Danio rerio: one gene and its partner. The protein of the gene in region 1 interacts with the protein of each later gene in a biochemical or structural test. Links are inferred from orthologs where the notes say so. Each region holds a gene or a part of one and is shown in the gene's direction. Other genes may lie near its edges.

Region 1 (7,764 bases):
CCTGTACTAAAATGGCAGCTCTATTGACACACTTTTTTTCCTATAGACAACAAGGCGACGTATGTAGGCGACGTCCAATGTAAATATCTATGCACTTAGGCATAGTGCAAAACCACACAGACTCTTAACAACACACAAGCAACCAACGACAACACAGGCCATGAGTCTTTTACAGGTAAAGCATCAATCAATTGGTCAGAATTAATCCAGTTAGTTATAAAACAGGTTTATGTATAAATACAGTTGCTGAATGTACAAAAAGGGTCTTTAATCTTATAAATAGTAAGTTTAAAAAGCATTTAGACACATGCTGTAGATAATGAAAACACATTATATTTCTCTCACCTCACCTCCTTATTGACCAGTGTCCAGTGATGCTCACTGACAGATCTCACATATGGCTTTAATGTTAACAATAGCAAAGCTGATGATTCAGTTGAACCACTGGATATGAAGGTTAATTCTCCAGGGTCCATTTTTAACCTAGAACAAAGAGATGAACACATTCACCTTGATCTGACTATAAGTCATCAGCACATTTAATGATGAGCTATTTTTTATCCACAGGGTGGTGATGCCAGTGATCCAGGGCTGCATGATGACACTGCCCTCCATCCACGTGATCTGGACCAGCTTGATGGACATGTTTATAGGGCCTTTCTTCTTCAGCATTGGACGGTGCTTGTCCTCCATCAACATCAAGACTGAGCAAATCTAACTCCGCATAGAAGTATTGCAGAATCTTTCTGTCACACTCTTTTGCCCTCCCTTTTGAGAGTTACTAGCTGAAGGAACGTTTATCCTTGACTTCTGAAGCACAGAGAAGAGAAAGAACTTGTCTCTCATTCCGTTGTAGCTATTGACATGTCAACTTTGTTATGGGTGGCACCTATGCAGACATGCTTTTTTCAGTACTGTTATGTAAGTCTAATTAAGCTTTTATGTTATATATAATGCAATACTTTTAATGTAATGTTTGAGATTTATTCTTTAAGGATGATATATTGTGCTACTGCATGATAAATGTTATTAAAATAAGCGCATGGTGTGCTGGTAAGGAAAAAAAATATGCAACTACTTCCGATAGGGCTGTAGGTTTTTTAAGCGTTTTATTTATATTGTTTGGAGTTAGGGTACGTTTATATAACTTTGTACTTTAAAAATGGAAAGGATCACATACAGACAACATCATTGTCAAAAACAATCACGCTCACAAAAATGAATTAATTGGCAGCATTATGGATGCCTGGCCAGTAGGTGTCACTTTGTAAAGAAACAATGTGTATTGGCACGCATACAGTGCTCTTGTCTGCTATTGTTATTTTGGTTGTTCAGCACTAATACGTGTACAGACTGAACATAAAAATACACATAATGCATGACATTCTCTTCACAAATAAACATTTTTGAAATTGACACTTTAAGAGCTGTAGTAGTAGTAGAATTTTGAAACCCGTTTCTAGGTAAACTGCTCAAAAATGTCCATTTTTAGTTCTGTAAACGTACCCTTAAAAGATTTGATGGCATTCCAGTGTGAGCTATTTATGATTTTTAGGTACATTCCTTGTTTTCTTCTCTATTAATGACATCTTTTGAAATTATAAAACAGCAAATGATGATTAGTTTGACTAGCAAAGCCACATTTGACATGCTGTTTGCCATCGATTGTGCTTTGTTAGTGGCTCCACAGAGTAAATGGAATATTTGACTGCAATGGAACATTAGAAGCTCAGGTGCCGTTTCCTTAGCCCTGTTGAGTGATGTCATGTAGCAAACATGCTGAACACAGCTCAGCTTATGAAAGACAGAACTAAATGCCTCACAGTTCACCAAATAAAATAATTTTTGGAAGTTGAAGGACTTTGTTTTCTTTGCTGAGAGACTGTGCAGATCAATGCTTGGCATATGGAATGTTAACCTGACAAGGTTTTACATATTGTGCAATTAGATAAACCCTTCAGGTGACTCGCTGAACACGGAAAAAATGCCTGAGGAAAACAGCGTAACAAACTGTATGTATTTAGTCTATTTGAGTGTTCTTTTGAGTGCTTAACAGCTGGGTTTTTAAGAAATCATTCTGCATTCTGATTTTGTATAATAAAATGTTTACTATGAGCTACAAATAGATGAACCTTGCAATTAATGTAAAGTTATATAATATAGAATCAAATCTATCATATAATAAGAGTGCTGCTGGAGTTTTTACCTACAGCAACCTTTGGCCACTATCACTGGCGACGTTGTTTGCATATTTTGCATTGCCTGTCACAACCCTCGCTTTGCCAGCATCTGACCTAGAAATACAAACATTTGTTAGGTGTAATAAATGCCTCCTAAAAAGATGTATAGGTAAGTCAAGCAAATGATACGTAAGTAAGGCAAATATGAGAAAAACAAGAACCTGCAGCTTCAGTGTTGTTCAAAACATTCCAAACTGAAGTGCAAGTCTTGCCTCGAGGAACCTTTTAATATGCAAACAGACCTCAGTGTAGTTACCTTTTAGGTTTATACATCCGAAGTGCAAAAAGTTCAATAGTAAAACATATTTTAATGGATATTCTGAATTGGAAAATCTGACATTGAGTGTCAGTAGTGCTTCATACATTTAAAGGTTTAATTTTAATATGCACCACAATTTTTTGTAACAAAATTAAATAGACTGCTTTGTAAACTACATCTGTCCTTATGTACAGTAACTGCCCACTTGTTGAGGTAAATAACTATATGTTAATGTTTGTATTTCCTTTTGTTTTTAGTTTTTCAGTTATTATTTCAATTTTTGTGTTACATTGTCATGTTCTGTTGAACTTTTTCTTGTTCTGTAGGAACAATACAACATAGAAAACACAATCAACCTATACCTATGTTATGTGAATATGACAGTCAATAAGGGCAAATGAAGCTACCATCAGTCGACTTTTGGCACAGATCAAACTTCAATAGTAGGGTGACTATGTCTGACTAGGTTACTTTGGTTAAAAATAGTTTGATTTGCTTTATATATATATATATATATATATATATATATATATATATATATATATATATATATATATATATATATATATATATATATATATATATATATATATATATATATTGTCTCTAAACAACCTTCAAACATTGTAAAAATGCAGGGTTCCACACAATTCGTTCATGTTGTCCCAACACAAATTGATTAAATTAACTTAACACTTTTAACAGATTTATGTGGATTGAACAAAAAAAAAAAAACGTTGTCCCAATGAAATCTCAAGAATTGTGTTGTTTCCACTCATTTTAAATAAGTAGTTTAAACGAGCAAAAAAAAAAAATGAAGTGTAATGCTTAGGGTTGCTTTATTTTGATTAGCATTACTGTAACACAATTTTAAAACTGCTAATGAAAAAAAGAGTGCATGTTCCTGTTAGCATACATGGCAATCGTGCAGGAAAAGTTGGTCTAATGCCCAGATGTGCCTCCCATTTGGGAAAAAATCACGTCAAAATCCCCAACCACTAATGCTGCGTAGCTGTGTGATTGGCAGGCTAATGGAGGGTTCCTCATTCATTCAACACACAAACTCAGTGACTGGGAGAAACTCCCACTCTGTGCCGTGAGAGTCTTCAAGAGAGATAAACTAGCTTTCAGATAAAAGCTTGATGGGACTTTAGCATGCAGAAGAGAGGGCTGTTTTAAGGGAAAAAAAACTCCCCACAGAAAGCAATATCCCCACGCCTCCCACACTGCTTCCTCTGTACTGATTGTCTTGTTTCCTCACACTCATCTGATCGCACTTCAGGCACGGGACAGCATGACTAGCGGATACAAGGACGGGACACCTGAAGAGGTAAGAAGAACACCCCTATTTTACCTCAGAAATCTTTTACTTTTGATGACAATTAATTTTATACAGAGCAAAATTTAATTTAGTTACTTATTTGCAAACCTTTTGTATGGTTTATCAACAAACGGAGGCAGTGTTGACACTTGCTACATTATTGGCAGATTTGAAGTCTTATCTTTTCCTGGCACGTATTTGTACTGCAAGCCTCCCTTTCGCAACACTTTCACAAACACAGCTGAATAAAATAATACTAGGCTATGAAAATATGAACTGCTCATTAATCCAGGTGAAATAGAAGTACTTTATCAATACACATATTTATAAAGGGAAACTGCGTCTAAACAATTTTGTTACAGTAATATAATTTAAGCACGAACTAAAAACAAGATTTTTCAGCAGTGAGCGCATTTTCATATTTTCTGCTGCGGAATAAAAAGGGAGCACAACAGGCGCATAATGTAAAATGGCGCCTCCGTGTGGCGGGATGCGCCACTGTGTTCCAGAGGGGTGTGGTGCTTCATTTCTATCCGCTTAAAACCATCCCATGCCAGGGCTGTGCTGAGTTGCGCCCGAGTCTCCCACTCCACGCTCATGAACTTCATTTTCTGTTTTCTTTGGAACCGCAGGAATACGCTCACTCGCCGTTTATCAGGAAACAGGGGAACATTTACAAACCAAACAATAAAGAAATGGATAACGACAGCATCAACGAAAAGACACTTCAGGATGTCCACACCAAGGAGATTGACCTGGTCAACCGAGACCCAAAGCATTTAAATGACGATGTGGTGAAGGTAGGACAAACTTTGTCTGGTTCATGCAACTTTTTTAATTGTTGGGTATTCAATTTAAATTTAAAATATAAATAATGAGGACATTTGTTTAACTGCATGGAAACGTTAATAAGAATCTCACAGGTTATTGTTTAGTATATGTGATATTCATAACTGCATACTTGATATTAGCAAATATAATTTGTATGGACAGATAAAAGCAAATCCTTCATTGTTATATTTAATTTATAATTCAGAAAAGTCTTTAAAGTGCATTGCAGTTTATACACACTGCTAAGTAAGACCATTTTATCCCAATAGTTTCCCATTATAACACAATAGAAAGTTGGCTTCATAACAAAAGTGGTGAGTCAGTGGTCAGTTTGTCAAGGTGGCACTGGAAACGATTAATTTTGAATGTAGAAACAATGATGGCTTCAAGTACTTGGGAATTATAATGTACAATTTTACTTGCAAAATTGCTTTACAGCTGGTATTAAAATGCATTTTTGTTACTATTATAAACTATTCAATGATGTTCAAAACTATTTGAGCTTATGCACTTTCAGCCATTAAAATGGGATTGCATTAAAATACATTTTTCATTTAAGTAGATTATTCCTCTCTTTTCACTAATCAAACATTTGATCAATGTACTTTGTAGTGGAAATGCAATTTAAACTTTGCCACCCAAAATAGTAAGTTTGGTTTGAAATGTAAATAAAAAAGCACAATGTACTGAACTGTGAGCACAATGCACAGGTTCATTGGAAATAAAATCTCTCATTGTTTTTAGAGAAGTGCTCACAGCTGATTGCTGGTAGAAGAGCACTGGAATTTTCAGATGCACCAAAACGCTTTAATGGACAAATAAAATTATGCAAAGATCTACAAAAAACATAACAAGATAATTAACTCTTTATTAAATGTTAGAAAAAGGTGTTCATTTAGGTTCAGTGCAGCAAAATGGGTTTATACCGGAAGGTACGATTTGTAGTTTTTACGTAGCCAGAATCACATATTTCCATTGAGCCTGGCTTGCAAATCCACTGAGCTTGGCATAGTTTTGTGGAGCAGAAACGAACGTCTTGTATGTGTCTTCCTCATACTGTATATCAATTGTGCAAGTGTATTTCACAATATTGGTTTGAAAGTTCTGAAGTGCATAAATACACAAGCCTCTCAAAGAAATGTGGCCAAAAGAGACAGATTAGAATGGCTGGTATATATGTGATGAGGTCTGCTTCAATCAAGCAAAACATTATTAAACATAACTTTATCTACTTCAATCAAGCAAAACATAGTATTACCAAGTGTAAACATGGCCTTACAGTAAAACACACTTTCAAGCTTCCTTAGGGGTGATTCATACAGAACACATCGTTGCATCCAAAGATGCTTGCCATGCCTTTCCGTTATTCTGATTGGTCCGCTGCTTTGGAACTGACATTAAAGAATGGTGCAACTTGTAAAAATTGCATTACAGAAACATAATGGTCATGCAAGTCTGTAAAGTCCTTTAACATAAAAAAACAATGTAAAAGTAATGCACTGAGATGGAAAAGCACATTCTGTGTGAATGGCCCCTTAGGTGTTTTGGTTTGTAGACCACATTACTTGACCAACCAGTTCCCAGCCTGAACAGATTCACACAAAAATGAAAATTTGCTCACCATTTACTCACCTTCAAGTGTTTCCACATTTTTAGTTGACTTTTTAGTTGAACACAAAATAAAATACACTCGAAAATGATGTTTGTTGTTTGGACAAACACTTATTTAAAATGAGCTGAGCTTAAGTTTTTATTGGGACAACTTAATTCTTTTATGTTCCATCCACTTATATTTGTAAAAAGTAATATGTTAACTCAATCCTTTTATGTTGTTCCAATACAAATCTATTGTGTGGTACCTAGCATTATTATACAGTGTATTTTGTAGAATGCTGGAAACTGGTGACACCCATAGAAAAACAAAACAAAAAAAACATTATGGAAGTCACTGACGACCAGTCCTGACATTCTTCAAAATAACTTCTTTTGTGTTCAACAGAAACATGAAACTCAAAGAGGTTTGGTACAGAAGGCAGAGCAAATGATAGAATTTCCACTTTGAGTGAACTCTCCCTTTAAGTTGTATATTCCAACAGGGTGGAAACAATTATCAACAGGGTACCAAAGTGAAATACTTCGATTGTGGCATGTGTTTGTGAAAATTGTGCATACAATAATAGCACAGTGCTCTCATTTTTACAGGCTTGTTGCTGTAGGAACTCCCATGCAGCAATAAGCTGTCAAACCAACCTTCTTTAAAAAGGAAATATTAACAGTTTCCTGTTTTTGAGCACCTAACATTCTGGGCGTGGGGCGATTCCTTTCATAACAAAAAAAAGGTCACTTGATGATTTGCTTTATAGCTTTTTTAAACGATCCTCTTCATTCATCTCAACCCTTATTTGTTTTCACTTATTCATCGTCTTTTCCCCTCCCACCACAACATGACACTGAGTCACATCCCCGAGGACACATGCATTTGAATGCTTTTTATGATTTGACTGAAAATTGAATCCAGAGAACGCTAAAAGCAATTGTTCTGTTCATGCTTAGAATTATGGGATTGGTGTCACAAGTCGAACTCATTTTGTGCACGCAGTCCTTTGATTTTGTCCTTAAAAGGGGTTGAGTGCTCGCAGTGGTCTTGCGTAGGAGAGGGAATTCCCATCTCCGTTTTACACAAATTCTCCATACATACGTGCAGATGGGGCATTTTTCTGGTCCGTGATGCACTCGCGGTCCAAGTTCACTCCCACTGACATCCACATCAAAGATTCTTGTGTGCACAAACACATGCGTAGCTTTCCCTTGGAACGGAATATTTTCCTCTCATAAAACTGCATTCTTTTAATAGCTCATCCACGTGGGATTTTTGGCCAGAGAGCAGTCTTAGGCCGGGCCACTTAGATGGTCATCATCACTGTTAGACTTGTAATAATAGAGTATGTACAGTAGTTTTTTTGCTGAAGTACTATAATTCCTGGCTGATAGGAGAAAACTTCTAGAACTCATAGAGTTGTAGTTACTTGGTGGGTTTTTTAGTCACCGCATATGAATTACAATTCCGAATGAGTCACAGGCTGTTGCCATGGCGATTGAGGATTTGGAACAAA
Region 2 (7,764 bases), on another chromosome or scaffold:
AGCTCTGTTGTGGGATGGTGTGAAGGGGTCTTTTTAACACCATTTTAAGGCAGCTAACCAGATGCATTGAATATCTCCGAGACTTCACATTAGTAAAATTCATTAAATGGCATACAAAATGAAATTATAGGTGATATTTAGCACTTTATTGATAAGTACGCACAAGCAGAATTTGCACCCACAGAAAACTCAAAAGATTTCTGCAGATTCTTGAGCCCATCTATTTATTTACTTAATCAAATGTGTTTAAGAATTATTTTAAGCAGTTTTTTTTGATAATTTTATTATTGAGTAATATGCAAATGTTCAGGAATTGTGTACAATATTGTTTGTGAAGTAGTAGATTATGCAAGAGACTAGCTTTGTTTTACTAAAAAGGGAGTTAAATGGATTTGTGTTTTAAACCTTATAAGCATTTGTTATAGGTTTACTTAATAATATACTCTATTATACTCTCAGAATCATTCCACATAAATCAGCAGATTTTTTTTTTTTTAATTCAGTGCAAAAATGACAACAACAACAAAAAAAAGTTTGCAGATTCTAGCCCTGCTTATAAGCCAGCACTGGCCAACCAGCCTATATGTGCATCAGACAAGAAGTGACCATGACATCAGCAATGATGAACATCTATATGCCTGGTGTAAACTTGAAATAAGTACACACAGATTTTTTGGAAGCAAAATATTGCCTTCAAGCTATCTCATCTTTTGGCTTAGGCTAATTGGATATTGAAAGCCACTTACAAAGTCCTACTTACAAAGATGTGATGATCTGCAGTTGACATGGTGGCTTCGCTGCTAAATTAGACAAAACAGGCTGATAATCCCAACTCAAGAGCTTTTCAAAGAGCTTCCCAGAGAAGTCCTAGTGATGTTACTGGACAGCTAAACACACTGAGAGAAAAAAAGTTAAGTAATAATTAATAAAATAAAAGTAACCTTTTGTAAATGACATGGGTTTTCTTCATTTGAATGAAGCTGCAACCCTATTTACACAAAGATTTTACACTTATGTTACACACTTTTATCCTAGCATAACACACTGTAGTGAACAAAAATAGCATTCTAAAATATACCTTAATTTCCTTGCAATAAACCAAATGCACAATATTTGAAGCAGTGCATGTAGACTATGAGAGAAAGGAGCAGTGGTAGGCCATACAAATGAACTGAAAGATGAAATGGGAAGTGTGCAATCAGTTGAAGAAATTGTGAAAGCCTACCTTCCATCCCCAACTGTCCATATACACAAATAACAATAGAAACAAAACGTTAGCATAAAAGTCAGCATTGAACTTTGTTGCATTAATGCATAGTCTAATGCATTAGTTCCATTTTATAACAGTATGTCATGTCGCCTGATCAAAAGCACCGAGCGAGAACAAGTTCACTTCACAGCAGAATAAAAGTGCGTGATGATGACAGAGGAAGAGAAATGAAACCTCCGCACTATAACACGCATCAGGCCTATATTTTGCACTTTTTAGCATATACATTGTTTGTGACGTAGGCCACTATTTGTACAAATTTTGTGACGCAAAAATTACTACCACTTATCTCGCAGATTATATGCCTCAAAGTAGACTAACAGAAATCCTCAAATGCTCAAGTTCCAGGCGCGCGTTACAGCAGCAGTCCCGTTAAATGGCCAGTCATCATGATATTGTGTCGAAGTTTTGTAATCTACCTTTGAAAGTCCCAGATGATCAGAGATCTTCTTTAGACATTTAAACAGCATATTCTGAGTCAAATGGAAAAGTTAGGCTTTTTTTTAACTACCCGCATGCATATTCGACGTTTCCCTGAGTTTAGCACCGCTATTCCGACAAGACATTAGGATGTTATGAACTCCGTTTACCTGCAGTAAAACAACTAACAAACTGAATAATCCATATTTATCTTACCCTGGGCCGGAGTGCACGTCAAGCCAGAAATCCAGAGAAAGATAGAGAAAAACCATTCGTAGTAGTCCTTCAATGCAGAGAGTGCAGTATCTTCAAGTGAAGAGGAGGCACTAAAACTGCTCTCCTGAAGTGTCATCCTCGAGTCGTCCCGCATATCTTAATGCATCCTGCTTTTCATATTGGCTGCATATTAAAAGTACATCTACAGGAAATTTGCTATTAACTTTAAGTATTGAACATTAACATTTAAAGACTAAAAATGTATGCAATTGAATGACTTTGTGATGGGAAAACTGAATAGTTGGCTAAATTTCATGCAAATTTTTGCTAAATTGCTAAAATGCTAAATTTTTCAGTGGTAACGGAGCTGATGAGGAAAAAATCATAGTTCAAAAAATCATTCATTTCTGCCACAAGGTGGCAGTTTTATTACATTCGATACGAACATCAACAAATAGTGGCAGCATAAGGATGTTCAAGATTAAGAATTATAAATACATTTGAAAAGGTTGTTTAAAAGCATATGCCGTTGTTAAATAAATGCAAAATGTGCTTACTGTTTTCGTTTTAAAAATTTATTTTTAGTAATTGCATTTCTCATTGTATTGTAGGCCTGTGTATTTTTTATTATAATTGTTTTAGTAAATGTAATTAGTTTATCTATAGGTCTAATTACGATTAAATCGCATTATAGTCTATTAATCATGCAATAGTAGATTTTGTTATTAGCCCACCTTTTTTATTTTAAATTTTCTTTTGATTTAAATTAGACTTTTATTTTTTAAAGTTATTTTCTGAGGTGCCCCTAAAAAAATGATGAATCCAAATTTAATTTCAGGAATTGAAAAAATGCTTATATTTTAAATATATTTTTTAATAATATGAAAAATCTGCGGAAATGAGCCTCATATCGACCAATAAAATCTGATCACTCAGATGATGTATCAAAATATTGTTATTGTTTATTACCATTTTATTATTATTATTATTATTATTATTATTGTGCTATTGATTAGAAGCCGTTTTGATATAGTACAGTAGCAGCCTATATGGCAAAATGGTTGCAATTTTAAGGTTATAAGGCATAAATAAAGTATATGCAGTATTCGAGATTTGTGATGATGACACTGAGCAGGTAGCCTACGCCATACCAAATAAACGATTATATCATTGTATCCTCTTGCAGTGCGTGAGTCACGTCCCAATTCATTCAGTCATTGCGTCATCGGCTCCTCATAAAACGGCTCCTCTCGCACTCGGAAGTTGATTCAATACTCTGAACTGGCGAGGTACGACTCGAGACATCAAACACGCCACTGGAATGAAAAGTTCGGTATTATTTATTTTTTTGCTTCTGGGCTTCGTGGTTTGCACAGGAGGTAAGCCTACTAATTTCTTGTTTTTCTTTCATATTTATATCTAGCCTGTTATATTTTATGAACTATATGTTATATCATTGTTGTTGGCATATTATAAAACTGATGTATTTACTTATTTATTTATTTTTGTGGTGCAGCGAACCCTTGTTGCTCCCATCCCTGTCAGAATCGAGGTGTCTGTACGGAAATGGGCTCCGACGCGTATGAATGTGACTGTACACGGACTGGATATTACGGTCAAAACTGCACAACACGTAAGTGAGAAGCTCCACAAACATATAGAGGAAGTTTCTCTGCCCATTTCTGCTTTTGGCTCTAACTTTTACTCTGTTTTATTTTTTCACAGCCGAGTTTCTCACATGGGTGAAAGTCTCTCTGAAGCCTTCTCCCAACACTGTGCATTACATTCTCACACACTTCAAAAGCTTGTGGAATATTATCAACAACGTGTCGTTTCTGAGAAACGGCATAATGCGATACGTGCTGACATGTAAGTATAAAGCAGTCCCTCTTTTCCTGTAAGAAACGTCTTTTAATTCATATTATTAATGAGAATTTAAAATATTATTATATTTTTTATGATTAAATCATTAAAGGATAATTCAGCCATAAATTAACATTTTGTTATCATTTGCTCATTCTTTTCTTGTTTCAAACATTTATGAGTTTTTTATCTTTTGTTAAATGCAAAAGAGGATTGAAACCTGGAACCAATGACTTCTATATTGGTTATTTTCCTTGGTAAGGAAAAAACAAATATTAATTGTTTTTCCTTCTATGCACTCTCAGAAAAAAAGGTACGAGAGCTGTCACTGGGGTGGGTACCTTTTCGAAAGGTACATATTTGTACTTTAAAGAGTTCTTATTAATACCTTGAGGGTACATATTAGTACCTAAAAAGTGCAAAAGTGTACCTCTTGAAATGTTAAGGTATTAATATATACCTTTGCAGTACATATATATGCCCTGTAAGTACAAATATGTACCTTTTGAAAAGGTACCACTCCAATGATAGCTCTCGTACTTTTATTTCTGAATGTGGATGTCAGACTTCAGCTTTCTTAAAAGTATCTTTTTTTGTGTTAAGAAAGAAACTCATAAAGGTTTGGAACCACTTGAGTGTGTTTTAAATATTTAATAAGATAAAATTTTGGGGTGAATTATCCTTTTACCTATCCGTTTAACTAAGAGATGTCCAAACTAGGGCCTGCGGGTCAAAGTTGGCCCATAGAAACCTTACAAATAAAATACAAAATGTTGTTACTCAACGGATAATGCAGAAGACATTGGCAAGCAAATCAAGGCAAAAACAGGTGCAGGTTGACTAGTTTAACTGCATACTGTTATAAATTGGATTGTTTTTTTGTTTTTTTTACTGTAATAAGTCCACTATAAAATGTAAAAAATATACTGCATTAGTTAATATGAAGCAATGTTTTCTAGTTATTTTAAAATTTGAAATAAATTAGGAAATTACCAGTGGCAACTTTAAAAAACTTTTATATATTTACGTTCGGCCCACCACCCTCAATCAAGTTAGGTTTTTAGTCCTTCACATGAAAAAGTTTGGGCACCCTGCGTTAACTAAACATGTCTTAATCATGTCTAATGTACATTACAAATATGTTGCATACTTAAAAATATGACTGAATATAATATTTTTTTCCAGCACGTGCCCATCTGATCGATAGTCCTCCTACATTCAATGCTGACTATGGTTACAAAAGCTGGGAAGCCTACTCTAATCTCTCCTACTATACTCGCACATTACCTCCTGTCCCGCGTGATTGCCCAACGCCAATGGGAGTCGCAGGTGAGCCTCTTTCTCCTCAGACCTGTTTTCTCACATTTCTTAGCATTCACATTTACAACTGGACAGGAAGCTTGAGGTCACAAATAGCTCACTTGAGCCTTGGGTGTGTGGATAAGCAACTCATTAAAAGAAAGATAAGATGTGACAGTAATGAGTCATAGAGGCTAAAAAGTTTTAGACACTGTAGAGAGAATAAATGATTGCATAAATAGTTTTTGCACTTACAGTACCTGTAGATAGTGTTTCATGTTTGGGTTGGAGTATAAACTCAGACATGAGGATGGAAGTAGGCTCTGTTTCTCATGAATTCCCCTGTTTTGATAGGTAAGAAAGAGCTGCCAGACGTGAAGATGCTGGCAGAGAAACTGCTTCTTAGGAGGAAGTTCATCCCAGATCCTCAACGCACCAATCTTATGTTCGCTTTCTTCGCCCAACATTTTACTCACCAGTTCTTCAAATCTGACATGAAGAAAGGTCCAGCTTTCACAACAGCCCTGAACCATGGGGTGCGTATTTGATAGATGTGACATTCTATATGCCATAAACATGTTTATGACTATCTGTATCATGAAGTTTAGTATATCACTGACTTTACTTATGTCTTTTAGGTTGATTTAGCTCATATATATGGACAAAACCTTGATCGACAACACAAGTTGAGACTTTTCAAGGATGGCAAGTTGAGATATCAGGTATGGAATATCTCTAACCCAAAATTAATCTCATTAAATCTCATCCTCATATAGCTTTGTTACTCACTTTTTTTTACTCTTGTGTTTTGCATTTGACTAAACTCATGTTCTTGCTTTAATTAGATTCTGGATGGTGAGGTTTACCCTCCAACAGTCAGTGAGGTTCAAGTAGACATGCATTACCCTCCTCATGTACCTGAATCTCGTCGATTTGCTGTGGGTCATGAGGCCTTTGGGCTGGTTCCCGGACTTATGATGTACGCCACCATCTGGCTGCGTGAACATAACCGAGTGTGCGACATACTAAAGCAGGAGCATCCTGACTGGGATGATGAGAGGCTGTTTCAGACCTCAAGGCTCATCCTTATTGGTGAGTGTCCTGCAGAAAAGGACATTTAGATTGGCACAAGTAGGCTCAAAAGGAATCTGCAGATTTCCTCAGATTTTTTTGGCCATTATTGAGTGTATATATATATATACATACATACATACATACATGCATGCATATATACATACATGCATATATTTACTTACAATATAGAAATGTGCGTAAATATAGATTTATTCAGTTTTTATATTCGTTTCATTAATATTATTGAAAATACACCAATTTTTATATGGTTTATGTACAAAACAATTTATAGGGTAGTTTTATAATATATGAGAGACTAACTTTATTTACCAAACAAGTGGTTTTTATAGAATTTGCACTGTAAACCTTAAAAAATAAAATAAATATTACTATTTTTTTAAAGTTACTAAAACCTCATAGGCATTCTGCATATGTCTGCAGATTTGTTTACAAATAATAAGTGTCAATAAATTCAATTATGAGCAGTAATGGCTAACAATGTCTGCAAATTTCTCTCTGGCTCTCATCACAAATGAACAAAAATATCCCAACATGGTTAAAAATGTAAAGTGAGTGGCTAACGTTTGGTCTGTTTTCCTTATCAACAGGTGAGACTATTAAGATCGTGATCGAAGATTACGTCCAGCACCTTAGTGGATACTATTTTAAGCTCAAGTTTGATCCCGAACTACTCTTCAATGAGCGTTTCCAATACCAGAACAGGATCTCCTCTGAGTTCAACACACTTTACCATTGGCACCCCCTCATGCCTGATGATTTTCACATCCAGGATGAAGTCTACAATTATCAGCAGTTTCTCTTCAACACTTCTATCCTGACAGATTATGGCGTCAACAGCTTGGTTGAGTCCTTCAACAAACAGATAGCCGGAAGGGTAAGTGTTTATAATTCTAAGATTAAAAATATACCCTGTTTTGGATTAGCCTGTTGTAGATACCGTTGCAAGGTGGAACCACCCATGTTTAATGAATCTTAAATCTCTTTGACTTCAGGTAGCTGGAGGGCGTAATGTAGCACCAGCAGTGTTAAGGGTGGCCATTAAGTCGATTGAAAACAGCAGGCAAATGCGCTACCAATCAATCAATGCTTACAGGAAACGCTTCAACATGAAGCCATACAGATCCTTTGAAGAAATGACAGGTGAGCATTACTAGTATCCACTGATGAGGAATTATATTTGTGCACATACAAATACACAATAAATTTCAATGCAACTTTTTGATTTAGTGGATAATTCTCATTAAATTTGTACAATCTCATTCGTACAGTTAGTACTATTTTCTTAGTCCACCAATGACAGTTGAATTTTTGGGGGCACATGTCCTTTCAAAAATAATATTTTTAACTTAACGATGCGTAAAACAGTTCAGTTTCCTCGTGAGATATGGCTTATGAAACATACGCACAAACTTTACCTAACCCCATCTGCGTTTTTAAAAGCATTCCCTGCAAATACTGTAAAAGCAGTGATGTTTCAGTAGACACCTTGAGCTGACTGAGCTTGCTTTATGTTTTAGGAGAAAAAGAAATGGCTGCTGAACTTGAAGAGATGTACGGAGATGTGGATGCTGTGGAGCTTTATGCTGGTTTGCTGGTTGAAA

Evidence for each region.
Region 2: the proteins of cav1 (region 1) and ptgs2b form a complex in vitro, tested with the Homo sapiens proteins (2 studies listed by BioGRID). The link is inferred for Danio rerio from reciprocal best matches to the Homo sapiens genes CAV1 and PTGS2.

The regions. Positions count from the first base shown.
Region 1 is NC_133200.1:19,556,643-19,564,406, forward strand, and holds the start of cav1 (caveolin-1), read left to right. Parts: upstream 1-3,585; 5' UTR 3,586-3,793; coding exon 3,794-3,829; intron 3,830-4,375; exon of another isoform or gene 4,376-4,452; coding exon 4,453-4,620; intron 4,621-7,764. UniProt on the Homo sapiens protein: May act as a scaffolding protein within caveolar membranes. Forms a stable heterooligomeric complex with CAV2 that targets to lipid rafts and drives caveolae formation. Mediates the recruitment of CAVIN proteins (CAVIN1/2/3/4) to the caveolae.
Region 2 is NC_133195.1:37,395,908-37,403,671, reverse strand, and holds the start of ptgs2b (prostaglandin G/H synthase 2 precursor), read left to right. Parts: upstream 1-3,190; 5' UTR 3,191-3,227; coding exon 3,228-3,285; intron 3,286-3,422; coding exon 3,423-3,539; intron 3,540-3,631; coding exon 3,632-3,775; intron 3,776-4,954; coding exon 4,955-5,098; intron 5,099-5,422; coding exon 5,423-5,604; intron 5,605-5,706; coding exon 5,707-5,790; intron 5,791-5,913; coding exon 5,914-6,160; intron 6,161-6,750; coding exon 6,751-7,037; intron 7,038-7,155; coding exon 7,156-7,303; intron 7,304-7,680; coding exon 7,681-7,764. Other genes in the region: pla2g4ab (cytosolic phospholipase A2), read right to left, coding at 761-787. UniProt on the Homo sapiens protein: Dual cyclooxygenase and peroxidase in the biosynthesis pathway of prostanoids, a class of C20 oxylipins mainly derived from arachidonate ((5Z,8Z,11Z,14Z)-eicosatetraenoate, AA, C20:4(n-6)), with a particular role in the inflammatory response.